3 linked regions of the Arabidopsis thaliana genome follow. The protein of the gene in region 3 interacts with the protein of the main gene of each other region in a pairwise test. Each region holds a gene or a part of one and is shown on either strand. Other genes may lie near its edges.

Evidence for each region.
Region 1: the proteins of AT5G40690 (region 3) and ATG8B interact in a two-hybrid assay, tested with the Arabidopsis thaliana proteins (one large-scale study listed by BioGRID).
Region 2: the proteins of AT5G40690 (region 3) and ATG8F interact in a two-hybrid assay, tested with the Arabidopsis thaliana proteins (one large-scale study listed by BioGRID).

Annotation. Positions count from the first base shown.
Region 1 is NC_003075.7:2,321,277-2,332,438, forward strand, and holds ATG8B (Ubiquitin-like superfamily protein), read right to left. Parts: upstream 9,315-11,162; 5' UTR 8,784-9,314; exon of another isoform or gene 8,668-8,783; 5' UTR 8,651-8,667; coding exon 8,614-8,650; intron 8,182-8,613; coding exon 8,126-8,181; intron 8,047-8,125; coding exon 7,994-8,046; intron 7,708-7,993; coding exon 7,589-7,707; intron 7,491-7,588; coding exon 7,387-7,490; 3' UTR 7,166-7,386; downstream 1-7,165. Other genes in the region: APR1 (APS reductase 1), read left to right, coding at 3,793-3,874, 4,032-4,323, 4,419-5,442; AT4G04614 (uncharacterized protein), read right to left, coding at 6,032-6,408, 6,485-6,638; AT4G04630 (senescence regulator (Protein of unknown function, DUF584)), read right to left, coding at 10,887-11,162. UniProt on the Arabidopsis thaliana protein: Ubiquitin-like modifier involved in autophagosomes formation. May mediate the delivery of the autophagosomes to the vacuole via the microtubule cytoskeleton.
Region 2 is NC_003075.7:9,302,838-9,314,190, forward strand, and holds ATG8F (Ubiquitin-like superfamily protein), read right to left. Parts: upstream 5,702-11,353; 5' UTR 5,509-5,701; exon of another isoform or gene 5,288-5,508; 5' UTR 5,277-5,287; coding exon 5,240-5,276; intron 5,146-5,239; coding exon 5,090-5,145; exon of another isoform or gene 4,653-5,089; coding exon of another isoform or gene 4,560-4,652; coding exon 4,507-4,559; intron 4,416-4,506; coding exon 4,297-4,415; intron 4,146-4,296; coding exon 4,045-4,145; 3' UTR 3,502-4,044; downstream 1-3,501. Other genes in the region: AT4G16510 (YbaK/aminoacyl-tRNA synthetase-associated domain-containing protein), read left to right, coding at 1-287, 438-515, 601-685, 780-868, 1,895-2,032; RGF6 (root meristem growth factor), read right to left, coding at 2,549-2,992; AT4G16530 (uncharacterized protein), read left to right, coding at 8,518-10,245; AT4G16535 (leukocyte receptor cluster-like protein), read left to right, coding at 10,884-11,353. UniProt on the Arabidopsis thaliana protein: Ubiquitin-like modifier involved in autophagosomes formation. May mediate the delivery of the autophagosomes to the vacuole via the microtubule cytoskeleton.
Region 3 is NC_003076.8:16,285,259-16,295,699, reverse strand, and holds AT5G40690 (histone-lysine N-methyltransferase trithorax-like protein), read right to left. Parts: upstream 5,315-10,441; 5' UTR 4,931-5,314; coding exon 4,298-4,930; 3' UTR 3,987-4,297; downstream 1-3,986. Other genes in the region: AT5G40710 (zinc finger (C2H2 type) family protein), read right to left, coding at 1-169, 253-336, 496-609; AT5G40700 (transcriptional regulator ATRX-like protein), read left to right, coding at 2,257-2,328, 2,561-3,189, 3,264-3,335, 3,423-3,474, 3,567-3,653; AT5G40680 (Galactose oxidase/kelch repeat superfamily protein), read right to left, coding at 5,699-6,946; AT5G40670 (PQ-loop repeat family protein / transmembrane family protein), read right to left, coding at 8,109-8,243, 8,323-8,372, 8,472-8,589, 8,671-8,713, 8,804-8,928, 9,021-9,110, 9,390-9,522, 9,614-9,732.

The sequences.
Region 1 (11,162 bases), on a different chromosome or scaffold from region 3:
CAAGAGAATTAAGTGTCTAACGAGAGGACAAAAAAGAATCTGAAACTCTTTAGTGAGGCGCTTACATCATCACGTTTTTCCAACATCGTCGTCGCATTTTTTTTATTCTTCGTAACGCATGTATTAATTTTTTCTTGTCAGTTTACCGGAAAAAAAAATGAATGACTTTAATACTATTTTGGAAATAAAGTGTAGTAGATATATCTACTTTTTTACCGGAATATATAGTCTAATAGCAATTTTAGTTAATCCCACGCAGTGACTAAACTGAGCATGGTTTAGCTATTAGATCATATACATAGGTGATATATTTAGATTATCAAGAATTAAATAATTTTTTAATAGATTAAACAATAGACTTAGATCTTAGATCTGATATTGTATCAGTGTAGTGATTCTTTTGATATTAAGTATCAGATGATGTGGATGCTCATAATTCATCTGTAAAATTCGTTTTTTTCTATAAAAAAAGAAAATTCACGATAGTCTTTCTACTGTTTTAGCTAACTAGCTACATTTTCCCCGAGTAAGTAATTTTGCAGGCTTTTCGTGATTATGTGACATAATTTTACAGTAATTTTGTAATTCTATGTTTTTATAAATTTATTTTTTGATTTTACAAATTTTTTTTTTAATAATACCAATATCGATCTCACCACTAAAAACAATTTATTATCGGTTCTCAAACAATAAATAAACATTAAAATTAATACTAAATAATTGTTAATGATATTCATAAGATATTAACTATGTGCATGATAATCACGTTACATATCCTACGTTCCTACTTCTATCATCCAAAAGTCGCGTCGGAAAAAAGTGCCGTGTCTATGTTTGTTTTTCTTTTGTTATTTGTTGGTTTTTTTTTGGTGTGGTTTCTATAGACTTTTCTTTTAAAAAAGATTACAGTCCAATAAGAAATTGAAATAGTAATTGGGCTAACGTGGGTTAGCCAGAGTTACAGAAAGAGAGAATTTTCGGTGAAGCTAATCGGAGTATAAAAGGAAAAACTGTCAAGCTTTTATGCAATTTTCTTTCATCGACCTATTGAGTTGCCGGTGATTGCAATAACAACGAAATTTCAGAGTTGTGCTTAGGACTGCCTAGTCCTGAAATTTTGGAAACCAAAGTTACAAAAAACGTTTTTGAGGTTATTTCCTAAGATTTAGAAAACATGGGTTCTTTATATTATAAAATTAAATAATTTGGGCCTATTTTATACTGTAAAATTTTAAAAACAAATCAGAGGCCCAAAGTCAATGTTTCACGAGGCTCTGTTTAGGACCGGCCATGTCCGTTTTGTTGATGGATACTAAATTACTAATGACCTAACGGGTTTATTTAGACCGAAATAGTTTTATTAGCTAAAACCAGTTTTCAAATGGTTTGTGAATTGCAGCATGCAATGTGTGAGCATGATTTCCCAATTGTTCTATCAGTGTCAAAGTGATATGGGCCAATCCGAACGTTTTATCCAAATGGATCAAAAGTTTTGATTTTATAAGATTGATGAGTTAAATTAGAAATTTTGAATCATAATGGACTAATTATCAAGAAAATGACACTGGTAATACATTTCTTAACACATAATTTTTCCTATTTTTATAAACGGAATCTGACCATAAGTATAAAGATTGATAGAAGTTTTTTATAAACTATTGTGTATATCACATTTGTTTAGGAAATATGTTAGTAAGACCTTGGTCCAATTGGTTCACCTGATAGTCAAAAATGTGTGGTGGTCCTTCAGGAAGAAGTCCAATCTGAAACATTTTGGGCCGTTTCTAGAAGAACTGATTGGATCAGCTGATAGAATTTTATTAAACAAAAAAAGACTATTTGTATATTGATTTCATTTTTAGTTCCCGAGAAGAGTAGAACAAATGCTAAAATGTATCATGCGGCCCAATAACCAACAAAACTAGTTGAAAGATGGATCAATGGTTTTTACATGAAGAAAGCCCAAACCATACACTAATAATCTAATATTCTATTAAAAGGACTTGCTGTTATTCGGCCCAATAGCCAACAAAACTAATTGAAAGATGGATCAGGGGCTATGGAATACCTCAGAATAAAAAGTGTTATTCATTGCAGAGGACCCCTTAAGCGGACATGGTTGGGTCCTTGTTCGACAAGACTTAGTCCTCCATCTTGGCCTCAAGAGTGCTCGACGAAGTTTATCACCGCTTCATGCGGAATTTTATTCCTTGCTATGGGCAATAGAATGCATGATCTCTATTAGCGATACTTCTGGCGCTTTTGCTTCCGACTGTTCAGACCTGATTTCTATCATTAACAATCAAGAAGATTGGCCGACATTCGCAGCGGAATTGACATCCTATCGCTCCTTAGTTTATTTTTCTCCTTCTTTTCGTATTAGATTTCTTCCTCGTAGTTCTAATACTCGAGCAGATTGTTTAGCTAAGAAAACTCGGGCTCGTAATAGCCTTTTCTCCCATGTAAGCACATCGGTTCCTGAATGATTCTTTCTAGCGGAGAGTCTCTTTCCGATAACTTAATATAAATGGTGTTTGATGAAAAAAACAAATTATCGTAATGATCCTAAAAAGGAGTTAGAAAATATTAATATCTTATCTACATCTAGATGATAATTGTTTTTATGATCCTTATTAGATAGTGTTTAAATTTAATTATCCACTAATTTAAGCATAAACTATATATTCTATCACCGTTTAACCAATCCATATAAATCTCTTTTAAAGCTTCTAGAAATGAGTCTCACACATCAGAAATTAGCTATTTTCTTATTTTATTACAAGAAGAGAAAAAAACAAACAAACAAACATGTGTTACTCTCATTTTGCCACATGCATTATAACGTATAGGTAGGTGAATCACCTAACTTGTTTCAGCTTATGTAATTAACTTTACCAATATATTAATTTATTGTTGATAAGTATATTTTAAATTAAGATATGGGACCAGAAAAATAACAAAAGTTTCTATTAAAAAATGCTTGCATTTAAAAGAGAAGAATGTATAAAATCTTTATCAAAAAAAAGAGTATATCATAGATTCATAATAATAAAAAAAATTTGATAAATGACTTTTTATTTAAAAACTTAAGATATTACAAGCTATTACTCTCTTTGTTTATTTTTAATTGATTTTCTAACAAAACACACATATTAAGAAAACATATTAAAACTGATTATAAATGTATCGATTTTTGTGATTTATATTTTTCTATAATTCTAAATCAATGATATTTAATTATTTGTGTTGAACTTTAAAATTTATCATTAATAACTAATAATTAGTGCATAGAAAATCTAAAAATCAATCTTTTTGAAACAATTTTTTTTCTAAAAAATCAATTAAAAAGAACAGAGAGAATATTGTTTTAATAATAAATGTTTTATTGGTAATCCAATATTAAAATAATTATATGGATTAAATTTAATTATAAATTTTAAAAAATTTGAACAAAAAATTATTTAGTGAATTGATTCCAACATGTGGAAAAAAGGAAACAGATAATTAAAAAAATTGATTGGTTCTGCCAAAATTGACTACCTTCAAATCAGAGATGATTTTAAAAATAAATTCATCCAATTAAACTTGCCACATCATCAACTTGGACCAGAATATTCGCAGTCACCAAAAACAAACCAATGTGTCCAGGTTCAATGAATCTGGAATCACCTGGTTCTTCGTATTTTTGTTATATAATGCCACGCTTCTCACAAATCATCTTGAATTGAAAATAAAAAACGAAGAATCAAAACAAATCTTAGAGAAAACAAAAATCCAATTTTTGCTGTGAAGATGGCAATGTCTGTAAATGTTTCTTCTTCTTCGTCTTCTGGGATCATAAACTCTCGTTTCGGTGTTTCATTGGAGCCAAAAGGTATAATTTACTTTCAATTCTGAGAAATTTCAATTTGTTCGTCCGAAATCTGAGAAATTGTTTGATGGGTCAATGTGGGTTTTGATTATCACACAAGAAATTTGATTAATTTGGGTATGAATTGTTAAAAGTTTCGATTTTTTTTTGTTTCTTACAGTTTCGCAAATTGGTTCGTTGAGGTTATTGGATCGTGTTCATGTTGCTCCTGTGTCTCTGAATCTATCTGGGAAGCGATCATCATCTGTTAAACCTTTAAACGCTGAACCAAAGACAAAGGATTCAATGATTCCTCTTGCGGCAACAATGGTAGCAGAAATTGCAGAGGAAGTTGAAGTGGTTGAGATTGAGGATTTTGAAGAGCTTGCTAAGAAGTTAGAGAATGCTTCACCTCTTGAGATTATGGACAAAGCTCTTGAGAAATACGGGAACGATATCGCCATTGCATTTAGGTATATATCGATCATGAGATTTGATATAAGTTTGCTTTTTGATAGCTTTTGAAGAAAGATTGCTGATCTTTGTTTTGGCTCTTGTGTGTTTGCAGTGGTGCAGAAGATGTTGCTCTTATTGAGTACGCTCATTTGACTGGGAGGCCATTTAGAGTATTTAGTTTGGATACAGGGAGGTTGAATCCTGAGACGTATCGGTTTTTCGATGCGGTGGAGAAGCACTATGGGATTAGGATTGAGTATATGTTTCCTGATTCTGTTGAGGTTCAAGGTTTGGTTAGGAGCAAGGGATTGTTCTCTTTTTATGAGGATGGTCATCAGGAGTGTTGCCGTGTTCGAAAGGTGAGACCTTTGAGGCGTGCTCTCAAGGGTTTAAAGGCTTGGATTACTGGTCAGAGGAAAGATCAATCTCCGGGGACAAGGTCTGAGATTCCGGTTGTTCAGGTTGATCCGGTGTTTGAAGGTTTGGATGGTGGAGTTGGTAGTTTGGTGAAGTGGAATCCGGTTGCGAATGTTGAAGGGAATGATGTTTGGAACTTCTTGAGGACTATGGATGTTCCGGTTAACACATTGCATGCGGCAGGGTATATATCGATTGGATGTGAGCCTTGCACGAAAGCGGTTTTACCGGGTCAGCACGAGAGAGAAGGGAGATGGTGGTGGGAAGATGCTAAAGCCAAGGAATGTGGACTTCACAAAGGGAATGTCAAAGAAAACTCCGATGATGCTAAAGTGAACGGGGAATCGAAATCCGCTGTTGCAGATATCTTTAAGAGTGAGAATCTTGTGACTTTGAGCAGGCAGGGGATTGAGAATTTGATGAAGTTGGAGAACCGTAAAGAGCCTTGGATCGTCGTGCTTTATGCTCCGTGGTGCCCCTTTTGTCAAGCCATGGAAGCATCGTATGATGAACTGGCGGATAAATTGGCTGGAAGTGGGATTAAGGTTGCCAAATTCAGAGCAGATGGTGACCAGAAGGAGTTTGCTAAGCAGGAATTGCAGCTCGGTAGCTTCCCTACCATTCTGGTTTTCCCTAAGAACTCATCGAGACCGATCAAGTATCCGTCTGAGAAGAGAGATGTTGAGTCTTTGACTTCGTTCTTGAATCTTGTCCGATAAGTAAACCACAAAACCAGTCGACATTTCTATGAGGAATAAGAATTATATCTTCGTCTCGTTCCAGATTGCTAGAACAGATGAAGTTGGTGTTTGGAGAATCAATTCAAAGCTTTGGATCACAAAGTCAGAGATAAGCTCTGCTACAAAGCTTGAGTAATTGCAGTATTGTAAGATTTATAAAGTTGCGATAGTGTTGATTCTTCATGTAAATGTGTGGTGTCTATTAAAATCAAGCCTCTGTTTCTTCTTTGCATTCATTTTTGAGAATATAGAGCTAAGAAACTGATGATTCTCCATGAAAATCAAGACCATGATTCTTCGTATTCATATCAAATTATCATCATATACTAAGATACATTTCAAAGCTGAGATCAGGAACACTAAGATACATTTCAAAGCTGAGATCTTCAGGAACACTAAGATACATTTCAAAGCTGAGATCTTCAGGAATCAGAACGAGTAAACAATGCTAAGCAACTGATTATTCTCCATACAAATTTGTGACACTAAGAGAATTCAAGCTCTAGTTTCTTCACATTCATATAAAATTACCATCAAATACAAAGACATTACCTCAAAGTTGAGTCTCTTAAGAGTCAAAACCAGAGTAAACACCACTCTCTCTCAACTGTCTCTTCTCTTCTTCAACATAATTCTTGCCTCTACTTGCTTGTCCCAAATCTCTCTTCTTCTTCTCCTTCTGTGAAAAAGAGAGATTCTTCCTATCATTCCGCAACTGCGCATTCGCAATCGTCTCGCCACCAGTAACCGCAGCAGCTCTTGTAGCTTCTCGTTCTTGATAACTTTCTTTCACTTCCTCTACTCTTTGTTTATCCTTTCCCGTAGTCCATGACCAATCCTGTTTCTCCATGGGAGCAGGAATATCAGAAAGACCAACAGCTTTGTAACCATGCTGCTGCAGAGATTCATAGTCAAAAGCTTTCTTATCTTTCTTCGCAAACCTCGCTGCAACCGTAAAAAAAAAAACAAAGTTACATAAAAGAGCTCTCACAAAGTTAAAACAATGAAGCTTTTCTCCTACCTATTGGCTTCTTGCTCTTTCTCTTCTTCTTCTTCTCCCCAATCTCTGTATTATCCACATTTGAATCAGAAGCAGAAGACGATGATGATTCCTCAGAAGAGTCTTCATCATCATCATCATCATCATCATCCCATCGCATCAAACCTTTCTTCATGATAACAACTCTAACACAGAATTGAATTCTCCATTAGTCCAATTTTACAATCCAAAAAGCTCAAAACTTTAAGAGAGAAAGTATTCAACTTTCCTGATTTCTCTTCAACGATTTACTAAAATCATTTCCCAATAAGACAAACTCGTCCAGCAATTCGAAAACAAATCAAGTACGAATCTTTGTAATCGAATTGAGAAACCCTAAATTGAATTGAAGGTTCACGAAGATACCACAAATCTAATTAGAGTATAACAAAAGCTTCGTACCTTGCCGGTGTAGTTGACGAAGGTAGGAGAACGATTCGCGGCGGAGACAGCAACAGTCGCAAGATCAGAAGCTATACTCGGTCCATGTCCGTAGAACCAAGAGAATAATATAAGTCTCGAATTTTCCAATTCAATTTTTGGTTTGTGCTTGGTTTGGTTTGGTTTTTTTCGGTTAATTCAATTTTAGGATTTTTCTTCGGTTTAGACAATTTAGCTAATTAGTAAATTGATCAGACGAACTTATCAACGTTGATGATGATATTACTATAGAGGTTATTTTATTCAATGGCAATAGAGAAGATGCAGAGGAAACAAAACAAAGAAACTAGAGAGTCAAATTAGAATCTTGTTTCAAATACCATCTTCAAATGCAAGAGATAGTAAGAGAGCTCAAAAGGTTAAACCAAGAAAGTAAAATGACATTATTAAGGTCGACGAGAATGTACAATCATCAAGAGGATCAGACGTAGAAGCTGAGGTAATTAGCAGTAGAAAGATCCACCAAATGTGTTCTCTCCACTGTATGTCATGTAGAGAAACCCGTCTTCGTCTTTGTGTTCTTCGTAGATTGCAGACATCAATGCCGCTGTTTGTAAGAACCAGAAAAGAGAGAAACCATATTTATACATGAACCATAGAAGTAGAAGATTCACACAAGGTTTAAAAAGTGTTAAAATCCTTTACCAGTTGGTGGTAATGTGTTCTTGACAAAGACAAAGATGGCTTTTTCAGCTCCAAGCTTGATTCTTTTCCTCACAACGTACACAAATTGGCCAATGGTTAGATCAGCTGGTACAAGATACCTAAAGAGAAGAAACAGGTGTCAGCAAAAAACATCAAAACCAGCAAAAAATAATGCTATGCAATTCAATCTCTGTATCTAGAAACTGCTAAACTGTACCAAGGGACAAGTTTTGAAGAATGAGAACTATAGTTAGACTCAAAATTTCATCAGCTAGTGATTAAAAGGATTACCGGATCATATCACATTTCCATTAGACTCAAAGGAGATTGAAAGCTAATTTGTGATTTGATACCATTATGATCCAACAAGAGAGATAGAGATAATATGTAAAACAAATTACTCACTTCTTCTTGTCAATGTCAGGAACATCACTCTGTCCAGCTTTTTCCACAATCACCTGTATTGAGTTCTCTAATTAGAAACTTAGGGTGACACTGTAAATCTTGTTCCGTAAAGTGAGAGTTTAGAAAACATACGGGAACTCTTTCAGGGTATTTCGCTCTGATACGAGTAGACTCAGCCATTCTCATCTCTGAAACCAAAACAAAACCATAAAAAATCAGTCACAACTAACGGATTATACAAACACATGAACACATCTTAGTGACATGTAATTCAAGTAACTTCCAGGAAAATTCCAGAGGCACAAGTACTAAATCTTTATAGATTCAACAACAAACTAGGTCTAATAACTTAATCGTGTTAATGTAAATCAATGGAGAATACAAACAGAGTAACCAATATCAGAGATCGAGAATCAGAACCAACAAACTCGTGATCAGGCTAATCAAAACTTGAGTTCCTTTAACAAAGATCATAATCGTAACACAATCCAAAGCCCAAAAGATCGAAGAAAACCAAAGAAGTAAACAACTATCCTTTAAACGCTTATCGAGTGACATCAATCAAGCAAAAACCCTACAGAAATTGCAAAAAGTAAAAAAGAAGAAACAAGGAAACTAACCCAGAGGATTAGAAAGCTTGAAGGAGTTCTTCTCCATGATGATTCGGTTAGTATCTACGATGATTAAGAGAAACAAAACTCGAAACTTTATCTGTTAGGCTAAATCGGGAAAAAAACCCAAACCACAAAAACTCGAAATTGACAAAGTGGAGAGGCGAAATCAAACGTACCCAAAAGACGAAACTAGGGTTCGATGATGATCAGAGGAAAAAAAAATGAATTTTGATTGTAGAAGAAGAAGAGGATCAAAAAAATGAAAAAAGGAGAGAATATATATAAAGGAAACAGAGAGGATGGATTTAGGGTTTAGTGATTGTTACCTGCACGGCACCCAAACTTATTACTTGGATTTTAATTAGTTACGATGCTTATCTTACGTCAGCGAGATGATACGACGTCGTTGGATTGTAGTGGTCATGAGTTTGTGAACTATTTATTGGGCCTTTATAGGTTTGGATCTCGTTTGGGCTTTTCTGTCATTTACATGATCAGGACTACTAGGCGTGGACAAATAAACCAACTCGAATATACCGAATCAAAATCAAAGCAAAACTAATTAAATCAAAGCAAACCAAAAATTGGAAAATATTCGAATGGATACTAAATTCTATAAATGAAAGAACCGAAAGAACCAAAACTAAATGGATACTAAATATTATTTATTTTTAGACTACATAATTAAAAATAATTGAAAAGATATATAAAATAGTAAAAATACTCGAAAAAATAACCGAAAATATTCAAAAATGATCGAAAATATCCAAAATAACCGAAATATCCAAAAATATTCAAAGCAAAATAATAGAATGGATATTAAATTTTAAAACTGAAAAAACCGATACGAATCAAACTTTCAAAATAACCAAATGAATACTAAACTTTAGAACCGAAAAAGTTGAAACCGAATAGATACAAACTGAAACCGAATGGATAACCGAACTATTAGGACTAAGGACTACAATTAACAATTTTAGTTTGTTCCGATTGATACCAAATTACCAATCATAAAGACATAAAAAGGGTAAGAAAGCAGCAGAACTGAAAACTATTTCTAACCACTATTTTTATTTATGTCAAAAGTAAGACTGGTAAAAAACAAGGTTAGAGGTTTTAGGTATATAAAAAAAACAATAAACAATACCAAAATAGTTACAACTTTTTTTTGTTAAAAAAAATAGTTACAACTTTTTTTTAAAAATCTCGTTTTTCAACGTTTTCGTCACTAGTAATAATTAGAAGTTTAGAACGGTAAAATACTGCAACCATACGAGATTACCAATCAAAATCTAACTATTTGGTTCGCCTACTGTTTTTTTTTTACCGTGTTGTTTTACTACTAATCATACCAATATAAAAATCTTTGCTTCTACTATCAATCCTTTTTCTATATTTAAAAGCATTATTGAAGTCTAATGTGATGTTTTCTCGTTACATTATTTTCTTCTCGATATCCCATAGTTTTAAAGTTTATTACATTTAATCACCTTTTTTTTGGTCTCGTTCACTCACCGCTATTAAATATCTTATAACTATAATCAAACAAAAAAACATTCAAAACTATTCATAAAAGAGTTCAAAGGAAAATCATGGATTCAATCCTTTATATGTACACCTTCGATATGTGAATATATGACATTGATCGATTGATATGGTTGAAAATGTCTTCAGAATTGGAAACTCAGCATTTTAGGGCTTATTTATTTTTGCATGAAATCGGCTAAATTAATGATATTTAGTAGCAGATTTGCCAAATACATAATTAGCCAAAGATGGACATAGCTAATATTAACAAAGAAAGAAAGATATCTAATTTATATATAACATTGTCGATAGCAAACGACAAAATCTTTCACCAAAACATGGTAAAGAACTCAACTCCAATTAAAGGTTCTAAAGGAGATGCCCCTCTCTAGGCTCTAATTTAAGATCATAAAAAAACCTTCAAAGAGAAACCAAAAACAACAGAAGAACATAAAACGGGACCCATGCATGGGGCTGACAAGTCATCATCATCACTATGATACTTATCTACTCTAAATAACACATTGAAAAATAATAACAACAATAAAGAAAAAAAAAACTTAACAAAAAGACTCTTGGTATAGTGATCCCCACATGATGATGACGACAATGACATTGATAATGATGATGATGTGGATACCATAAAGTTGAGTTTTTCATGATGATAATGTTAAACAAGAGTTATGGGATTCATATTCCATGCACATGGATGATAATTATGGTGATGATGATGATGAGATATTTTATCCTACTTACTCCAAGAAACCAGTTTTTGACAAGACAGCATTTCTCACTTTGCTTAGATCTCTTCCTTTAAGTGTTCTTCCAACTCCTTCACACATAGAGAAAGAAGAGATCTGTGTTCTTGCTAGCTTTCTTGCAACCCATTCATGTGGAGGAACCATGCAACCATCATCATCTTCATCATCATCGTCAGCAGCATGAGAATGCAAATGGCTACTCCTTCTGTTGCTCTTTGAGTCACCATAAACCTTGGACCAATCAGGGACATTCATAGGTGCTGATGA
Region 2 (11,353 bases), on a different chromosome or scaffold from region 3:
AAACTGCAGCGGCAGAGCTTGAGAGACTCCAAATTGAAATCCTCCACAAAATCTCCATTCTTGAGAGCTCTTTTCTCCCACAGAATTCCTCTGCTGCTCCGTCGCCTTCTCTACCGGTTGATGAAAACGAAACTGTGACTCGCCTCTCCACCATTCTCCAGTCCGGCGGCGTTAACGACTTCTGCTTCAAGAGAGTTGCTACCGATTACTATGACTGGCCTCTCGAATCTCGTCGCGACGTTCTCGGCGCTTCCTCAGTCGACCATCTCTGCAAGAGTATTGTTCTGGTACTTCAATTGCTATATAATTGAATTCTATCGGATTTAGTGTATTTTATGGAACAATTTTAAAATCTTCGTTGATATGTGATTGTGACACTACACATTGAATCTCTGTGCCTGTGTTTGTTTCCTCACTAGATGCTGACTATATTACAGGTTAATACTCAAGCTGCATCAAATATTTTGGATTGCAGTGATCCAAACAACTCAAAATACTATGTGGTTGTGGTTCAGGTGCTCCTCATGGTTCCTGTAGAATAGCATTTTCACCTTTGTTTCGTCTTTAATCGTATTCATCTGACTATTTTACTTATGGTAGTATACTGCTAGATTCAATGCTGAAGCAGTGAAGCAGTTTCTTTATTCACTAAACGAGGGCAAGATCCCAAAGAAAAGATTTAATCGTTAGTGCTTCTTATTTCTATGATCTGTTAACATATTGAAGTGTATATGATATGTTGCTTCTTTATGCTGAGGCTTGTGTTAACCTCTGTGTAGTGAGACTTGCTCCTGAGGAGACGTCGATTAAATTGACGGGGTTTGAGCATAATGGGGTAACCTGTATTGGTATGAAGACAAACATACCGGTAAGTTTTGTTTCCACACCGTTATTTCTGTGATAGGTTTAAAAATCTTTGTTTGATTGAAGCTGGCCAACTTTTCTACATCATGCATTATTGACATGTTTTGGGCGTGCTTGCTCAATGCTGCTCTACACTATTAATTACATATTAGACATAGGAGTAGTATGAGAGGAACCTCTACCCACTTATGTTTTCTTCTCCTAGACAAACAGTTTCGTGTTGTATTTTGTATTGAGAAATATTTACAGAGAGTTTTCCCTTTCATACACATGTTCTTGCCAAGCGTTTTGCAGACACTATAGTTTATTGTCCTGTCCTAGAGGCCCGGAAGGTTCCAGTGCCTAATGAGTTACACAGCTAGGTTTGGCCTTGTTTTGTTTCTCTTAGTCTGTACAGGAGGGTGTGGTGCATTATAACACAATTTGAATTGGTACAGAGCAGAAGTTAAGAGTTTCCGTGTGAGCCAGCTGCTGATTGTCCCACTCATTGTCTTTAGTACTTTCCCCGTTGATAGTAAAAAATTAGAACCTCCGTTTTTACAGTTCAATACCTTCTTTGCATTACAAGTGCGAGAGTTAGTAATTGGTGTCAGTCAGAGAGACTTAAATGGCGTTATTTTTGGTCTGTGTATATATAATCTTAGGCACGTACCCTACTGCATTGATGTGTTTATCTTCCTTTCCTTATCCGGAATTGGCCCACTTCAGACAACACACTATTTGTGCTACTGTGACACATGAGTCTTTCAATATCATCTTTAGACCTCAGTAATTAAGTAAATGAGTTTCCCTTTAGGGTAATTAGTTAGGTTGCTTATGCTCTCATGATGAATTACTTGATCTCAATTGGATATGTGCAGATTGACTTGGTATTTCGAAGTATTCATTCATAGTGGAGATATGGAGTTTAGTATTAATTCATGTTTAGAGTTTCCATGGCATATTCAGACTAATCGTGCTTTGAATTGAAATAAACTTTCGATATATTGATACTGACGAGTTGGATGGGGGGGGCTTTGGGAAATGTCAGGTTATATTGGATGAGGCTATAACCAAACTTAAACCGGATTTCTTCTGGTTGGGTGGTGGAGAAATCGATCTGAAGCTCGGTGTCAGAACATCCGAATTCCTTGAATTTGTGAAACCATTCATTGTTCCTTGCAGTTGAAATCAGGAATATGTATAACACTATTTTTATCACCCTGTTATGAAATGTTAGGCTTAGCTTTAAGATTTTAGCTTCAATGAAGGTTTTTATCTCTTATACACATTGGTATTCTTTGTAATGATACTTTTGTTACGTGCTACTTGGAGCTAAAATGGCGGCAAAGAGATCTATTTGAGTCTACATGTCGATTATTCTAGATTGGTTATTGTTGATTTAGCTTCAGGCTCGGTTTAGTTTCTGTATTTAAGATCTCTTGTACATTCAAAGCTTAATGAAGAATTTTCACAATTCTGTTTCTCAAATGTTGAAAATCTTTTATGCAATACCCATAAGAAACAGAGTAATTAATAGGAAGCACCTTGTTTGTTGTATACGAGGAGAAATAGAGAACAAAGAAGTTGGTCATGAATATATATAGAGATAGCACAAGAGTCATTACAACCACCAACATGGTGAATGCATATGCATATAACAGTATGATATATTTAGAGAGACTGGTATATATGGATCGGGTAATTAAGACTTCTCGTTGTGGATCGGAGGCTTACGATGAGGCTGAGGATAATCCATGACTACTACTTCTTCCCCTGTCTCGACTCCACCCAACGCCCGCCTCCTTTCTCCACCATTGAAGACGTCCAAAGAAGCAACCTTGTGATGATGATGCTTATGTGACCTTAAACGACGAGCGGCAGAGGCACATCCAACATTGGAAGACAAAAGCAGAAGAATGAAACAGAACACTATCACGAGTCCACTCCTCAAAGAGCAAGACATGACTTCTCTTATTCTTCTTCTTGTTCTTGAGATACTTGTGTATATATGCTGTGTCTGTATACAGGGAGATGAGACTAGAGCAGGACAAAGAAAGTTTGAAATGTTGTTAATTGGTGTAAGAGAAGAGAAGAGGGAAGGAGAGTATTTGTAGGCAGAAGAGAGTAAAGAGAGTAAGACAAGCATTAAATACAGGTGGGGGGAGGGGTCCTTCATTATCATAACATGCTCTTGTTCCTCTTCTCTTTTATTTCTTTTTAATCTTCTCTCTTGTCTATTATTCAAATATATTTTACATTCAACATACATATCTATCGTATGTATATGGGTGTCTTGATCGGCCAAACCTTTTGTCTACTTGAGAGTCTTCGTGGGGTCATCATCTCCTGCATTCTCATTTTCCTTTCTTCCATTTGCTCACCTTATTCTCCGGTTCTTCACCTTTTTCATCCACGCCATTATTGTATGACCGACGTGTTTACTCTCTTAAGTCCTAATCGATCACCTTCTTATCACTACACTATTTGACATTGATTTCTTTGGACAAAACACTCACAAGTTATGAAAAGCTTTTACATTCAACTTTCACTTCAATGGTCCAAAATCCCAAAAACACAACCGCGTCTCTCATGTTCCACGTGACCGGTTGGAACCTTGAATTACAATCTTTGACGATCATAAATCGAGCTAAAACTGTGAACAAATAAATATATGAAACAAAAATCAATATTGAAAAGTGTAAGATGAGAAACAAGCCAGCATGGTCCGACCGTCTCCTCCTTCTCTCCGTCAACGACAATGTGGGACCTTTATAAGATCGTCGCCGGCCAACCTTCAACCGGTACCGACCATGTCTGCCACGTGGCACAGTTCCCTTGTGCTTGCACTTCTATTGAGTTTGGTGATATAACTTCTCTTCACTTAGGCTTTGCAATTTGGAACTGTCATGGCCCATGTGCCATAAGCGACGTGTTATGTCGGCTTATAGATTGAAGACATCAAAAAAAACACAACAAAGTCAAGAGGGAGATGTGATAGATTCACCTAAAGTAGGTTTTTAGATCCTTGAAAGAAGATTATATACATTATTTTATGTTTTCTGTACATATTAACGCCCGACCAAAGGTCCTTAGAGAATAAGTACATAGGTGGCTTGCTTGCTTAGTAATTAATAAGAAGATGAAATATTTGGTGAAAATAGAGAGGAGTAAAATGAAATATCCAGCAAGAGGTCTCTATTATGGAGATCCAAATCCAAATGTGTTTTCTCCGCTGTAAGTGACATAGAGGAACCCATCATCATCCTTTTTCTCTTCGTACACAGAAGACATGAGCGCACCTGCAAAGTTACCAGATCAGATCAGCCAAATATAAAGAATTTATAATCACCGGGGAACATATAAGTAGACGCCTTCTTATGCTCTTGTTACTTGTGTTAAAAGATAATGAAACTCCTGAGTCTTGAATACAGAGGAGATCTATCTGTTTACCTGCTGGAGGAAGAACATTGTCCACGAATATGAAGATAGCCTTTTCTGCACTCAATTTGATTCTTTTGCGAATGACATACACAAACTGCCCCACAGTCAGATCAGCCGGGACTAGGTACCTGCAAATTTGAAAAAAGCTTAGTTATCAATCACTATTATTAACAAGTCAGGTCCGAATGAAAAGGATACTGATGCCATTTATATGCTTACTTTTTCTTGTCGATGGTTGGTATATCACTCTTCTCAGCCTTCTCAACAATCACCTGGATCCCACAAAAATATAAATGCGTGGAAATCATCATCTCAAGTGTCATTTTTACCATGTGAATCATAAAGCACGTAGCCACATGAATCATGCAAATCTACTTATCTAAGCCGTAAGTACTCAGTAAGAATCGAGTTTCAGAAAGTCACGTTCCAAAAAATGACAACTAAATTCAAAGTCCTAATGTTGTTATAGTCACTATAACTCAATCAACTCCATGTAGTTGAAACAGTGGCAAACATATATCACAAGCATGAAGCTAATCAAACAATAATAACTTGATAACCATCCTTTAGTCGGGTAGGGTGTCCATTTAAAACCAGATGCTATCCCAATAAGTTCATTATATCCCAATAAGTTCATTACTACCATATTGCTGGGCCATAAACCACAACAACTTAACCTGCATAAACTCAGTCAAACACAAAAGATTGATCCGAACATAGAAAGGGAAACAATATGCTAATCACATATAACTTTAGAAATGTATGATCGATCAATGTATAAGAGAGACACTGAAAGTCTCACCGGAATCCTATCAGGATACTTCTCTCTAATCCTAGCAGCCTCTGCCCTTCTCTTCTCTGAAGATTTAGGAAACAGGATCATTAGATCAAAGCACAAGGTTTTGATTTCGAGGACCAAACAGTAAAGCAAGAACAAAGCTCAAATCCAAACCTAAGTCATGCTCTTGCTTGAACGAGCTTTTTGCCATTCCTTCCACGCCTACACACACATAACAAATAGGTGACACCAATCAGACAACCATCAAAACAAATTTAACACTCAAATCAAATCATCAATTCCCAAACTCTGGAACTCAGATTATCAAAATTCCCACAAATCTATCAGTCGATCATGTTAAAGACCCAACCTTTAAGTAATCTAAACGAAAGTACAGGATCGCAATCAAACCAAAAAAGAAGTTAAGAACTCAGTGATCAAACCTGTAGACTACAAAGAACGAAGCTTTTCTGCGATCAAACACTTCTCCAGAGCACAACGCTATCGTTGAAGATAACAACAACAATTAACGAAAAAATATGAAAGAAAAAGCAAATAAGCAACCTACAAAAATTCTGCAAAACATTAAAAAATTATGCGATAAGGTCAGAGATTCTCTACAGATGGTGTATGGTAACATCTAAACACTTCAGCTGACGTTGTATGCTTAATCTGTTCAGTGAGAATCTGACGGTAGATATTAGCTATTTACTGAAATAGGAATCTCAACCGTCCATTTTACTGAAGGTGTACGAGGTAACTGTCTACGTAGATATTGCCTCCAACAAAGGATAAAGAAGAACCGGATATGCTGGGATCACGTTTCTGCATACGATATGACACGTTTACCCCTAGAAAATGTGTGTTAGGTGAAGAGTTCGGAAGGGTAATAGTTGGAAATTGAGAATGTCGCTTATAAGCTTTGCCTCTTCTAACAAAATGTAGGGCCTAGTGCAGTAATGGGCCTTGCAAATAAACGGATGGAAATATGAAAACTAATAAATAAAGTATAGGCAGAAGTTTTTTTATGACTGTTATAGAGATCTGGAGATGTAGGTCTTGGTGTATGGACAGCTTAGGATTTCAAGCTTAGGCATTTCGAAATCAAGGGTTGAAAGCAATTACTGTATTTGAGAATATATCTTCAACACTGCACAAAACTCATTTTGTAATTTATTAAAATACCGGAATTGAGTGATTAATGTCAAAACCGAGAATTTACAGGATAACAAAGATAATTAATCAAAATGAATCTTTTATCAAAGTAAGATAAGTTTTCTAACAAGTTTTTTACTTATAGATATAAAATATTATAGTTGTGAAAAGACATAAACATTTTTAAAAGTTAAGATTGAGTTTTCTGAAGTTGAAAAAAAAATCAAAATTATTTTTTAATCATTATCCAAAATCATTACTTAATCCAAACCGATGCCCACCCTAATTATTTAACTATATTAATAAGGTTTGTAAGCAATAGTATATAAAAAGCTAAAAAAAATATAAGGGTATCTCACTACGTATGACACTTATCAAGTTTGTTAGAGCATATGGGGCACATATGTGGGAGTATGCACTTTTTCATGTTTATTTCACTGCACTTTTTCATGTTTATTTCACTGTTTCAAAACAATCAATACAATTATATCCTTACTCTCGTAACCTCAGGTCAAATAGCATGGTTAAGAAATGCCTTTGACGAATGATTTAGCTGTGCAGCAATATATAGTACTTTGAACTGCTCTAATGGGAGTGGATTGTGGATTTTCCTTTCTTCTGTTTCTTAATCTTGACATTAGATTTCCACTCCACCCCATCTTCGTCTAGTACCTTATAAGTCGTTCCAGCAATGTAGAAGGTGACTTTCTTCTCTTCAAGGTACCTCACAAAACGTTTAGCAAACTCAATGGGTGTTGAATGGCTTTTGTACTTTGATAAAAGACTCACAGCAATCTCCTAGTTAGGCTTGAAAATCAAAGTCTTGACAACTCGTTATGCCTCATCAATCACTTTTCCTCTAGCCAAGCCGTCTAAATATGTCCCCATTATTTCAATAGTTGGTTCTATCCATAGAGTCTTGACTATCCTTGCAAGAAGATAATGCCCATACTCAGTTTGTCGAGCATGTGTACAAGTTACCATCACGTTCCAAAATGTTGAGTGAGTTTTGATCAAGGTGGAAGGAATGTTCTCAAAGACTTGGATTGCTTTGAAGCATTCACTATTTGTGCCTAAGGTTGATATAAATGCATTCCACATACCTATACATGTAGCTCCAGATTTACCGCATTCATGAAAGAGTTTTTCTGTTAAGAAGAGTTTCAAACTCCAACTCTTAAGATTGGAGAGATATATTAGTCACATGGTAACTTTGTTAAGGAAAACAAAAACTCAAATATTTTTAAAATTTGTTAATCAAATAATTTTAAAATTGATTTCTTGTATAAAAGTATTGTTTTTTTGTGTATTTTAAATTATATTTTTATTTTTATTAAGTTATTATGAATCAAATATTTAAGAATTAAATTGAATTTTGATTTATACTTATATTCCAATCTTGTATATAAGTTAGTCAGATTGAAATATATGGTCGAAAATTGGTAAAAAATAATATTCACCATTATTTTGGTCATTAAGTTTTGACCACTTTTTGGTAAGATGTTTTCGACCACTATTCTCGGTCAAAAATGTCAACCGATCAAAATATTTCTACCATTTTTATTGGTCTAAAATATTCGAAGCAAATGTTTAATTCAGTATAAACATGCAACCAACAATTTACAAATGGTCAAAGAATTTCTACCAATTTTATTGGTCAGAACTCAACTTGCAACCAACAATTTACATCAACTTCGTTTTGGTAAAAAAAATATCGATCGAAGATAGGTGTTTTTGACCAAACTGATGAATGTATCAATTCTAATCGTAATACATTTTCGACATTTACCACACTGATGAATGGTTTTTACTGTTAGGGTCGAACAAAAAAAAAATCCAAATTGATGTTAGCTGTTCTGATGTCTCTAATTTCGATTAATTCTACCAAAACATTAATAACTTGGACTACATTTTAGTTGAAATTTACCCCTTAAAAACATCCAAATTGGGTGATACATTGGTGAGAGAGAAACCAAACCTCATTTAAAGTCATAAGTTATAATAATGCAGATGAGGACAAATATAGATTAGGATATGGTGTTGCTGGTAAAGGTGTGAAGCGACTTTGCCTCCTTGGTACCTTGAGAAATGTAATGATGAAGATGATAGTGTTCGTGGTGAGGATGATGATGGTGGATATAGAGGTTATGAAGCTGAGTGGGAAGAAGAGTTATTGGCCCATAATTCTAAAAATATACGACAGCCATTTTGAATGATTTCAACTAAACATACGGTTAGTTCCGGTTTATATTCAGTTTCGTAACCAAAGAAAAACGCAAATCCCAAATTTTCCGGAAATGGAGGAATATTTGAATCTTATGTTGAAAGCGAGAGAGATTCTTGTTAGTGAAAGCCATGAAGAAGTAGCGATGGTCATCGATCATCTCTTTAAGCGTCAAGACTCCGAAGAGTATAAAACATCGCGTGCGCTGTACGACATCTGCGTTTCTTGTAACCCAGGTTGCTTAACCCTAAAGCTTCTTAAAGTCTATCAATCTTCTTCCAGTGGCATTCTCAGACTCCGATCAATCTCTCAACTCTCTGAGACCCTCACCTATCTGAAAAATCAAATCGTATTTTCCAAATTCTCTCTCGACTCTCTCTATGAAATCAAACCCCTTTTGATTTTATGCCTTACAATGCAAGAAACCAAAGAATCTGACATCAAGATCCTCAGGAAAATCGTGTCTTTTGTAACTTACAATGTCGTGGAGTTGCATAAAGACAAATGGGACGAGCTCGGTGATTGTATCTTATCCCTAGCGAGTAGCAAAGAACCTGTCAAGGCTTTTCACGTCTTCATCGATCTGCCACCAGTCTACAAGAGTTTCATCGGCAAGTTTTTGGACAAAATTTTAGAGGAAGCTAGTAATGTCTTTCTTTATCCTTATAGAGTTGAAGATTGGAGCTTGGCTTTACAAACTTTTGTTAAAATGTGGATTCAGCTTGAGAAAACAGGGGTGACAGTAGAGTTACTAATGGCGTTGATGGAGATTTGGATTTCCTCTGTTGTGAATTCAGTAAAGAAGCTAGTGGAGATGAAAAAAGAACAGTTTTTGGTACGAGGGCTTGAAGATTTCGAGAGTTTCTTCTCAGGAGACATGAATCTGTATCATTACACTAAAGACCAATTCCATTTTGTGTTGGCTTCCATGAACGAGATCGAAGGAGTAGTCGGAACAGAGACAAAGGAGATTGTGAGGAAGATCAAAATGTTGGTGACAGAACCATATGATGATCTTAAGAATCGTAGAGAAGAGTTTGAACGTGGCTGGTATGACATTTTGAAGGATTTATCATCACTGGAAGTGTTAAAGATTCTTGCGTCCTCTGAACTTGAAGATAGGTCCAAAGAGATAGCAATCAGACGACTCAATGTCTTACTCTCTGATCACACTTCAAAGAAAGTGCAGATAGACATTTCAGAGATGAGACAACTCCAACCATTGCTCATCTCTTGCTTAAAGGAAGAAGGACTTTCCTTTAACAGTATGTTCAAAGTCCTAGGTGAGGTGGTGAACCATGTTGCATATGAGATGTTGATCTACCAAGAGGAGACATGGTACGAGCTACGAGATTATATTGCATCGAGTAAAACAGAGTTTCATAGAGCGGTTTATATCTTCCAGTGCTTAACAATGGCACTTATTGACGACGATTTTGTGATTCCTGTGATGGAGAATCTTTTCCTAGAGATAATCACAAGGCTAGACCCACCAAGAGAGTTGTTGGTAGATAACAGTAGCTGGGTCTTGGCGTTTATGGGTGGCTTTTGTTTAGCAATTCACTTGATAGAGATGTCAAGTAAAGCTGAATCCGTTAAGGAGATTGCACATAAGATGATAGATTCTATAAGAGAGCTAATGGAAAGAGAAATGGAAGTTGGGCTTGTGAAGAGAGGTTTCAGAGATGTGGAAAGCATCGTGAAGAAACAATTGGAATGGTATAGTACGAGCCAATACAAATTCATTAAGGGTCTGCTTTGGAGACTGTATGCAATCAAAAGGCATGAAATGGGAAAGTAAGATTGTGTTGTGGAGAATCAACGTCATTGTGGAGAGAGGAGTCAAAGAAGAGGAAAAAGAGCTACCAGAGAATGAGTTTGATTGGCTCAACCTTAATGCTGAATAGAAAACTAGTTTTTGGTGTTCACTATCTGATATTGTGCAGAATCTTGTTTTTGGTGTATATACAGTTTGCATTGAAGAAGAAAATAAATAGATAAGAGTTTTGGAACATGTACTTAGTAGTTCTTAAAGCACTTTAATTTTGAGAGTTACTTAATAATCTTTCATTTACTAGCACTTTTATCTTGATGCTAAAACAAATTCGTAGCATCAACAATACTACATGTGTCACAGATTTTCTCAACAAGAATCTGAAACAGAGATTCATTACTGTTGTTGACGTTGCATCAGTCTAAAGCAGATCTATTGGGCCTTTGATTATTAAAATATCACTTAATGGGCTCAATGGGCTCAATAGGCCTCAAAGTTAACTATATCAATAATTAGGCGATTTTCTCTAACTTCTCTGCCAAAATTCAATTTTATTCCGATCAAGTTTTTATTTTCCAATTCGCTTCGAAGTTCTCTCATCCATCTCCTGGTTCGATTCAATCTCATCGTTTGAAAACCCTAATTTTGTTTGGTAAGATTAAGCCATGGGAGGTCACGGTGGTTTGAATATTCTTCCACAGAAGAGGTGGAACGTTTACAACTTCGACAATCGAGAAAAAGTCCGAAAGGAGGAAGAAGCTGCCGCTAGAGAAGAGCAGATCAAACGCGAGGAAGCTAGAAAACGAGATGCTGAATCTCGTCTCGAAGTGCTTCGTAACGTCCGTGGCTTGGCGCCTCTCAAACGAGCGTCTCCGGAGGCAGAGAAGGGTAAGGATGAAGCGGTGGTGGCGGCGGCTGTTGTTAAATCGACTGCTGTTGTTGTGGAGAGTGTTGAATCGGAGGAGCCTAAGACGGGTCATATTAATCTGTTCGAAGGGATTAGGATTTTTGATCCGATTGAGATCAAGAAGAATGATAAGCCTGCGGATGAGGAAGATCAGAGAAGGAAGAAGATGAGGAAAGAAGCGGCTGCAACGGCGAGAGCCTCTGCGAAAGATGCTGCTGCGAGAGCTGG
Region 3 (10,441 bases):
CGAGATACTTCTCTTCATAAAAAGCCTTTTTGCAGAATCCACAACGCCACTCATTAATATCTGAACGCAATTTGTGCTCTTCTTGTTCTCTATAAATGTCATTGTCTCGATGAACTCTACAAGTACTCGGTAACTGATACCGCTCCTTTTCCACATACGGCATGAGATACTTCACAGCAACAACAAAGATCAATGAGAAAACTCTACAGATTTGCATAAAAAATAATAAAAACCACTGCTTTCAATTCATACCTCTTGAATGATTTTCCAAGCAACTCTGCTACGTTCTCTTGAACAATGAATCTCATGAAAACCGTCTTCAGGATCTTTAAAACCCTGTAGAACAACAACCACAAAGCTTCAAAATTTGAACAAAATCTAGAATTCTAAGTAAATCCCAAGTAAGCCAAATCGATTACAAACCCTAAAGTGATACAGACATTCTTCTACACGAAATTTACAGTTGAAATTGCTGAAAAACCCTAAAAATTTCACCTCGAGATTTTGTTGAATTATCGAAGTGGGAAGTGAGAATCCCCAAAACTGAGAAGAGATGAAGAAGCAGAGGAGAATCCAATGAGATGGGCATTGAGAATTCGATCTTCCCATCTTCGCTCACACCAAAAACAATCAAAGAAGATGATTTCAAATTTTGGTGTAATATATGAAAAATGAAACTTTAAGGGTTAAGAAAGAAAAATAGTTTGGGGTTATTTTCAAAACATAAGAATTTATAGGTGGTGTTATTGAATATTAGTCTTTAATGGATTTGGATGTTTTTTGTATTCAAGGAAAAAATCCAATGTTATTTAATTTCACTAAAAAATATGAAGATACAATAATGAATTTTTTTTGTACACATTTGGTTAGAATTCATTCAAACCTTTAAATGCTTTAAACTATTTTCTCTTCAATTGATTTTTTAATCTTTTTTTGAATAATGGACTATACCCTTTTCCAAAACTTCTAAATATTTTGAAAGGCCACCAAATGTTGGATTTTTAAATAATTATTTAAGGCTTTACTCTGAAATTTTCACTATTACTTTGTCAATTTTTTTTTTAATTCTATAATGAATAAAATCTTTGAAATTTAGAAATATGAATTAAAAAAAACGAACCAAAACTTCAACTTGGTTTTGGTTAATCTCTAAAGAAGGAGAAAGAATTAAAGTTTCAACGATGACAAATAATCTAATACATTTTGTTTATGAGATATAAAAGCGATGATAAAATCTTTTGTTTGACCAAAAAAAGTTTTAAAGTAAAACGCTAAAAGAGTTAATATACATTTTTGTTTATTTTTATGGGAGAGAAGCAATCAATATTTTCAGCTATATGATTAAATAATTGTTGGATGCAAAGGAAGAAAAGTAGTTGCTTTTGTGATGGGTTGAAGTGTAATGTATTCATTCTAACAACATCACTTTTGTAACTCAAAGCTGTTTTATTTGGAGTTACAAAAGTACACCTACCGTTACATAAACCAACGCTAATCACTTACTAATTAGTTTTCCCTAATAAATCGTATTTATTTCTTCTTCTTTCTTTTTTGGCTACTTTTCTCCAAACTTATCTACAATTTTATTTCTTTAGTCTTTCTAATGACTCTAATATTCACACCCTAAATCAGATTCATTTTTTTAACCAAAAAAAATCAAATGTAAGCATATAAGTACTAATATAAAGTTTTTTTTAATAGAAAATCAGATTCATTTTTTTTAGTTAAAACAACTAAAATAGTTTTTAAACGCGTTGATATATCTAAAAATTAAAAAAAAAAATTACTCAGAATTCAGTTTAAATTACAGAGTTTTTTTTCCCAAAAAGCATTTCACATTTTAATATTTCATCACCAGAAAAAATTCGTTTTCTCTCTTGTTGCAATTCTCAGCCACTTCATATCAACAACTATAGCAGAATCATTCATTCTTGTTAGACTTCTTTGATACATAATTTATTCTCAGTTTCTCAAATTCCTATCAAATTTTCAAATAAAAACTCAAAATTGAGTATCTTCTTTATTTAAAAAGATATTCTGAGTTTTATCTGTTTCGTGGGACCCAGATCTCAACCAAAGTTCTTCAGATCGTCTCCTAAAACATGTGTTTAGGGCTGACAAATAAAAGTTTTTAAAATTCGAAAAAATTCTTTTATAGCCGTTTCGGTGAGAAAACCCATTAAAACGCTTCGATTTTTATTTATTTCCTTTTGAGATTCCAACGAAGAAGTTCTCGATTTTGAGGTTTTGTGGCCAATGGCTGAATCTGCTGTTCTGTTTCATTCCTATTCGTTCGCAGCTCCTCCTTCTCGTAATGAATCTCATGAGGTTAGTTTCATTCTCTCTATGATTCCTGGGAAAATTCGATGGTTTCTGGGAGATTTTGAATGTAAAGTTTCAAACTTTAGGGTTTAGCTTGATAGATATGAATCTTGATGTTGATTTTACTCAAAGTATCTGAATTGGGTTTGATTGGAAACAGTTTGATTCACCAGAAAGTTTATAACTTTGGTTTTGAGTTTTGGTAAGATTCTGATTTTGATATGTTGGATTGTTGCAGGATAATACGATGCATGCGCTTAGTCAATCAGTTTCATTTGGTAGATTCATGACAGAGAATCTTGAATGGGGGAAATGGTCAAGTTTTTCGCATAAGAAGTATGTCGATGAAGCTGAGAAGTTCTCTCAGCCTGGATCTGTTGCTCAGAAGAAAGCTTTCTTTGAAGCTCATTACAAGAAAATAGCTGAAGCAAAGAAAGCAAAAGCTTCAGATCAATCATCTGATTCTGACCCTAAACAAGAACCAGAAAGTGTTGCGGTGTTGCTTAACACTTTGGAGACATTGACTAAGGATGAGGTTAAGGAAGAAGAGGGTGATGAAACTGAGTTAGTCTTGAGTAGTAGTGAAGAGTTGGTGTTGAGTATTGAGAAAGATGATGAGCCAGTAAGAACAAATGTTGCGGTTTTGGAACAAGAAGATGATTTGCAGGTTATTCATGATGATAAAGAGAAAGATAATCACTCTGAGGATGGAGAGTTGGTGAAGAAGAGTTGTTTCGTTGGAGAGAAAGAAGAAGAGAGAAAATCCGTAACCAAGAACTCATCGGTGGTTAGATTGTCTATAGAGAAATCAGCAACTTCTGAAACTCCGGACAAAGCAATGGAGCTTGTTTTCTCACTGAAAATAAGGTAACAAAAGCAGCTTTGATTGTTTTGTCTAGAATTTGTCCTCCATCTGATTGTTTTATGTTGTAATTTTGCAGTGGAAAACCGATAACTCATAGTTCGTTGACGAAAAGCGAAAAACCAGTTCGTCCTAGATTCGGTTTCTTGAGGTAAGACTGATTTGTTATCTCTTCTTGAGTCAATGTGTATTTGAGTTGATGTTCCTATCCTAATTGTATACTGTTGTTGTGATGTAGCTGTTTGATGGGAAACACTAAAACTCAAGATCAAAAGCTGACTATAAAGAAGGTAAGATTTCGACTTTTAACAAAATCATGAGAAGAAGCCTTTTCTCATTTCCATTAGTAATATGAATACTGACACTAGCTGTGTTTATTCAGCAGAGAAAGACGAGTAAGAAACCATTTCTATGTCTTTGCTTCAAACCCGAGATGGCTGGGGAAACAGAAGCAGGAAGACAAAGGTAGAACACCAAAACACAGAAGAGGAATCTCTGAAAACACTTGCAAGTAGAAAGATTGATCTGTCCTAGGATTCAAGAGTGGTAAAAAACTAAAAAAGAGAATCTTTGAGTGCACAGTAGCAAGAAAAAAGTGAATATCAGAAGAACGTTTGTTTCTTTTTTCTGGTATTGTATCTTTGTGAACCTTTTTGTTGTATGTATGTATCTTCTTCATCTTCAATGAAAAACCTTTCTCCTTCTTTCATAGTCTTTATACTCGATTCGAATTCGATATGTTAAGTTTTATATTGCTCTTCATTGAGATGTGATTGCAGGAACCTCTCTTTCTAATTTGGAATGGAAAAAGGTATCAACTTTACATTAATTTCATTTATAAAACAAGATTTAAGAATCAAATCACACTAACACAAGTTATTAAGAATGATAAATAGTAGTAGTTGAACCTCTGTTCTGATTTGGAGTGGGAATGAGTTGTTGAGAAAAGGTTTCAACTTTACATAAATTACAATTATAAATCATAGTTTTTGATTTAAGAATCAAATCACATTTACATAGAAATAATCATTCATTCCCCCAAGTTATTAAAAATGATAAAATTTACAAAAGCAAAAGGAAAGACAATTATTGGGGGATAATCAGAGAGATCAGTTAAGTCATCATTTCTTCAACCAAATACCATCCTTCATCATATTCTTCCACATGATCCATCATCATCATCATCCCCACATCACAAAAACTCATCCTTCCATCATCATCTGTATCATCATCATCATCATTTGACCCTTCTTCTTCTGTTTCACCACCATCATCACTACTCTGTATATTCACAACTTCTTCTACAACACTCCCTCTGTTTTCTTCTTCTTCATTTTCTTCATCATAATCATAATCATGATCATAACCATAATCATCAGACATAAGATCAAGTATTCCGGTAGCCGAGAACCCGGAAAGCTTCAAACCGGGTCTAGGCCCACCGGCAGCGACCTGCCAAGTCAGCATCTTATAGGTGACATCATTTGTTCTCACCTTTGAAGAGCCTTTAGTCTTGGCTTTAGATTTGGTGACCGGGTGCATATGGCAGTCAAGGCACCTTGCTTGACCACATTTCCCGGTGAATTTCGAGTGATTGGTCGGCTTTGATGTCACTTTGGTAAATAATCCAGCGGTTGGCCGTGAAGTCAAAGGGTTGACCAACTTCGATTCCGGCCTTGGATTCAGCGACGGAGGCAGAATCCGGTAAGTCCTCACCATACCGTGTTGTTTGCCTTCACGCTTCATCTTATCCGTTGATCGATGAGACCTTAACCACACACAAAAAAAAGGAAGAAGAAAGATGTGAAATGATAAAAAAGGTTGCTTGAAGGATATAACAAGAAGAGGAATATACTTGCGGGACAAGGAATAGTCAAAAGTCAAGACGAATTCCCTAAAGTGAAGCTTGTGGACCAAACCAAATGAGTTGTGTAGATAACTTCCTTCCACTATTCAATTATTGGAATTTGTCTTCTTCTAGAAAAAGAAAACAAAAAACAAAAGGAAAGAACCAAACTACACGCTAATCCCACATTGTATATGTTTAATCTTTTATTTAGTAAAACTTCTTCAAACTAAATTTGATACTCGATTGTCTAACCGACACTATAAAATAAAACTTAGGCCACTTGAAAACAGTTAACAAATTTCAATACAAATTGACAACTTGAGTTTATGGCCAAAGAGGAAACCACAAAACTATGTAAATAAAGCTTATAAAAACACAAACAGAAGTAATCTTTTGCACATAAACACGACTTTTAAATAAATAACACAAAACATCGGAATACAAGTTTACGACAAATATTTATTTCTATGAGATGATTTGCCGTCTAAACCCAAGACGCAAAAGCAAAACAGAGAAACAAACACACATACACACACACACACACACACACACAGAGAGACATAACAACAATTTGACTTATGTTTTGGCGTCATAATCGCCAAAACTTATTTTAAACATAAACATAAAAACGAAAACAGAAACACAATATATGTTGCTCAGAAACCTTAAGCAAGCATCACACAACAGTTACGGATAAAATGGCCGAGCTGAACACAATCGCAGCTAGTCTCCTCCCAAGTAATCTTTTCCACTTTTGGAAATGGGCAACATGTGTAAACTGACATTTTGTTATCCCACGATTTAGTAACTGAAGCTCCAATCACCAAAATCCTATCTCCAACTGACTTAAATGCAACTCCCCAACCTAAAGCAGCATTTGCTTTCACAGGCACAACTCCAAGATTTTTCCAAACGTTTGCGTTTATATCATAAACCCAAAGCTCGTTCAACCATGTTTCCAGCAAGTAGAGGTTGTCCTTGACCACAGCAATAAGTGGAGGGGATTGGGGATTCATGAAAGTCATGCCTTTGAGCATGTCTGGTATCAACTTCCATGAATCTGTTAACTCATCGTAACTTTCTCCACAAGTAAGGTACACATCATTCTCATCTCGACCACCAAGAGCGTAAAACTTACCCCGCAAGAAACATCCCGAGCTAAATTTTCTTCGCTTGTGCATTGCTTTCATCGCTTTCCACGTTTTTGTATCGGAGTTGTATCTTTCAGCAACGTTCACAACATCAGGACCCCCGTTTTCGCTTGTCTTGATTCCTCCAGCGAAAAATGCATCGGTCCCACGGCTTGCGGAAGCATACATTACCCGCGGTGTGATCATTTCAGTATCGTTGATCCACTTGTTTACCTCTAGTTCGTATCGCCACACCACAATACGCTTCTCCTCTCTCCCGATGACTATCAAATGCGTACCCGCAGTAATCGTTTCCTTATCTCCATAAAAGAAACAAAAGTCAGAAGGAATTTCTGGAAGTTGTCGGAAATTCTTGAAACCTTTATCAAACATTACCCAACAAGTTTCACCGCTCGAAAACATAAGCACATATGGTTGCACAAGTCCACGTTCTCGTCTCACTTTAAAAATCTCACGACTTTGTAGCAGTTGCGAAAACTGCTTGTTGAGAAGATTTAGTTTCCAATATTGAAAACATGAAAGACGGGAAAAGATCTCGACCTCAAGGTCGAACATAAGCTTAGGAAGACCATTGTGTGCATCTTGAGGTGCAAGACTTGTGAGATTCTCCACTGTTTCTTCTTCTTCCGAGTCGGAACAAGGTTCAGCATTCAGATCAGGGATGGTGGGTTTAGTGCTAGCAATCAGAAGCTTTCTTGGCTCAAATTGGCTCAGGCTTGCTCTAGTTCCACGAGCTTGATTTTTTTGTAGCATCAATGACATCTTAGGCTGTAGATTCCAAACCACAAAAACTAATATGAATAAATCATCATTAATTATAATATGGAAGTGTATGCATTTGTATTAAAATATTTCAATAATCCGCTATTAGCAAAGTGCCGATGGTGAAGATAACTGGTGATTATGTAGAAAATGTATCACATAGTTATTAGGTTGATTAGAAAGATATGCTACATTTCTATACCTTGAAAGTTGAAAGTGAAGACTGCATTGGCCTCCCACTTGAATCCTGGTTTGATTTAGTTATTTAGGAAGATGAGGCAGAGCCAGTAATACAATCATTAGAAGAAAAGTTACTAAGATATATATAGAGGCTATCTTGCTTTTAATGATCTACAATGGTAGTCAAATGATATTAACCATCTTCCATAAAATACTATTGATAAATGTTTCAAAAACTTTGACTGTTTTGTTTAACTTTTCTACCATAAAAGAACTAATGAGTTTTACAGTTTTGACTGTTTTTTTTGGCAAACTTTTAATGAAGAATTATGAAGTTGACAAAAAAAAAGTTTGACTATCTTTTCAATTTCAAGTAAGTTACTTAGTTTTAAGTTATTTCCATGTTCCAAATGTATTATCAATGAACTTGAGAAATAAAGTTTGTCATGACAGAGTGATATACATATAGAAATTTCTGGTCATGATACGTATGGAAACAAGACAAGAAAGGATGGTGTTCACTGTTAATGGACTCCTATGGGGTACACTACAGCTCGCGATGCATCAAGTAGAAAACTGGAGATTAGAGAAGTGGGTAGAAAAAGCAGAGGACGCAAACGGAACCTTAGAGAAGACCCTATCGATATGCGCTGCCAAGAAGATGATGGTTCATGGTACCCCTCGAACCATAGTGACTTTGGTTGGATCTTGCATAGATATAACTCTTCTATGCTGTGCCTAAGACTACTAGTAGATGCACTACTATGGGTAATGGATCGTGCTCTATTAACTTTCATCTTGTTTCTTAAAATATAACCCAAGATCGAACATTGTATTATACATTTGCTGTTTCTGTGATAATTGATTTGATACATTAGACTGATATTACGACAATCTGAAGAGTTCTCACATTTGTACCTTTTTGTGATATAAACATATACAGTGGGAACGCTGAAACTAATGACTCTTGAGAATCTGATCTTTAAACATGTTCATGAGAAGAATCAATGAGTGGTTCGTTCGATTCCTCACCAGTTTCCGGAGATTTTGAGACTTTCTTCTCTGGGTATAACACATAGTGTTGAAACATGAAGAGGATGTCGAAAAATATTGATATCTGTTAAAAACAATTTGAGACGTTTATTAGAGACAGAGAGAGAATTGAACCAAAAAAAAAACTCCATCAATTTTCTTACAAGTGAGAGAAGAGTCTTTCCCATGTTCCCATAGAAATTCTTCCAAGAATCTGGAAGAACCAAAGGAAATAGATAGTTTTAGTTTTCTTTCAAAATGTTATTATCAGAGAAAACAAAAGCTATTGATGTGATAGAGAAGAGATTGTTACTTTGGTCAATAGATTGTATAACCATTTGCAGATAGTTAGCAAGTCCTCCAGTAAAATCGAGAAGAATATTCCCGATGCTCCACCCGACTGTGCTCTTCCTAGTGAAGTTCATCTTTGCCTGTGAAGCAAACACATAAAATCTGAGTAATGCTGATTCAATCAATAATGAAAAAAATTAAGGTTTGGAATCTTTTCTGACCTGTGGGATGTACTTGACGCATGTCATGAAGACCTGAATCGAACTATAACAATGAACAAATAAACCATTATCATCAAAACTGTTAGATTACCACTAAAAGAATTGGTTCAGAAGGCTTTGCGCAACAACTTACTTGAAGATTGAAATGAGCCATAGCCAAGAGTGTGTAGGTAATGCTATGAAGAAACAGATAGCTGCAAATCCCCACACAACAACCACAATACCTATAGCAAGTCTGGATACTTTTTGAGGTCCACGCTGAGAGCAAATCACTAGAAATCATCAGGAAAAAAAGAACACTTGTATGGGATAAAGAGACAAAGGCAAGCCTAAGAAACTTGATTACTCACTTCATAGATAAAGATCTGGAACAGTGTAACAGCTGTCATTACAACTGCATGGATCGAGAATGCAACATCATTTGCAGCCACAGGTATCATCTGAAATAAGCAACAATTATAACAAAACGACTCAAAAAAAATTAAACCAGCTCGAACAATCTAAAGCGTTTTTTTTTTGCTGAAACTTAGAAAGGAACAAACTTTTATCTTCAATTTTGACTTCATTAGCTAATAAGTAAAGGTAAACTTGTAACCATGAAGATAAGAGCCAACAAGAACCATCTTAGAATCCAAACAAAACTCATTTCTAGATTCCACAATCAAATTCATTAAATGCTTAATGCTTCAATGAATAACAGAGAGAAAGAGGAAACAAACCTCTTTATCGCCATAAGTGTCAAAGTACTGCTTTTGAATAACAGGACTAAAGTAGAGGCAGACATTGTAGATCATATACGACGAGTGCTTTGTCAAATTCAACATCACGAAGTCGAAGTTCAATCCAACAACACTTTCCCAAACACAACCAAGATTTCATCAATTTCAATTTCAACTACAGATATAGAAACAAAATCTCAAGAACAAAAGGTAGATTAGATTACCTTCTCCTACGGAAATTCAAAATCAGCTGTGGGTAAAAGCTAATTGACCACGAAGCAAACGCGATCCATCCAACGATTTCGTACGAGATCTCCAGCGGAATCGAATTCCACGACGCCATTTTCCTCGATCTCGATCGTCTGTTCGATTTCTCCAAATTTTGTTCTCGACGTTGACGGAGATTTTTGAAGAGCCTTAAAAAGAGCTAAAAGCAGAAAATATTATTGGGGAGTGAAATAAAACAGTTTCAAAAAATTATGGGTCTCATGATGAAGATGATGACGTGTCATGATCTGGGAGAGTCTAGTGATATAAGATTCCACGATCTTAGCGTGATGGGTGAAGCAGGTGATTTTAATGAGCCTTATCTCTGAATCTGGCGCTCTTTATGGTTACGTTCTTTCTTTAAAGTTTTGAAACCGGCGGCTAAAACGATGCCGTTTTGAGTTAAGTTTCAGCATTTTTGACTCGGATCATTTTTTTCTCGGGACTCGGATCACTTAATTAACAAAACTTTTGGATTTAGAGTAATAAAATTTACTTATTTGGGTAAGAATACTTTAGTTTATTTAATTTACGGATGAAACAATACATATCACATAATGAATTGGTGTAAGTGTAACTCTTGAAAATTATAGAAAAGTTTACAAACTAAATTTAGCCAATTTTTTTAAAAAAGATTGTCTATATAACCCAAATGATATTTGTCAAAAAATTCTTTACAAATATTATATTACAGAGCTGATTACAATGAGATAGAATAAAATTGTAATTATAATCACAATTATCAAAACACCTTCATTGTAGTAGAGGTTAACTATCACTCCGGG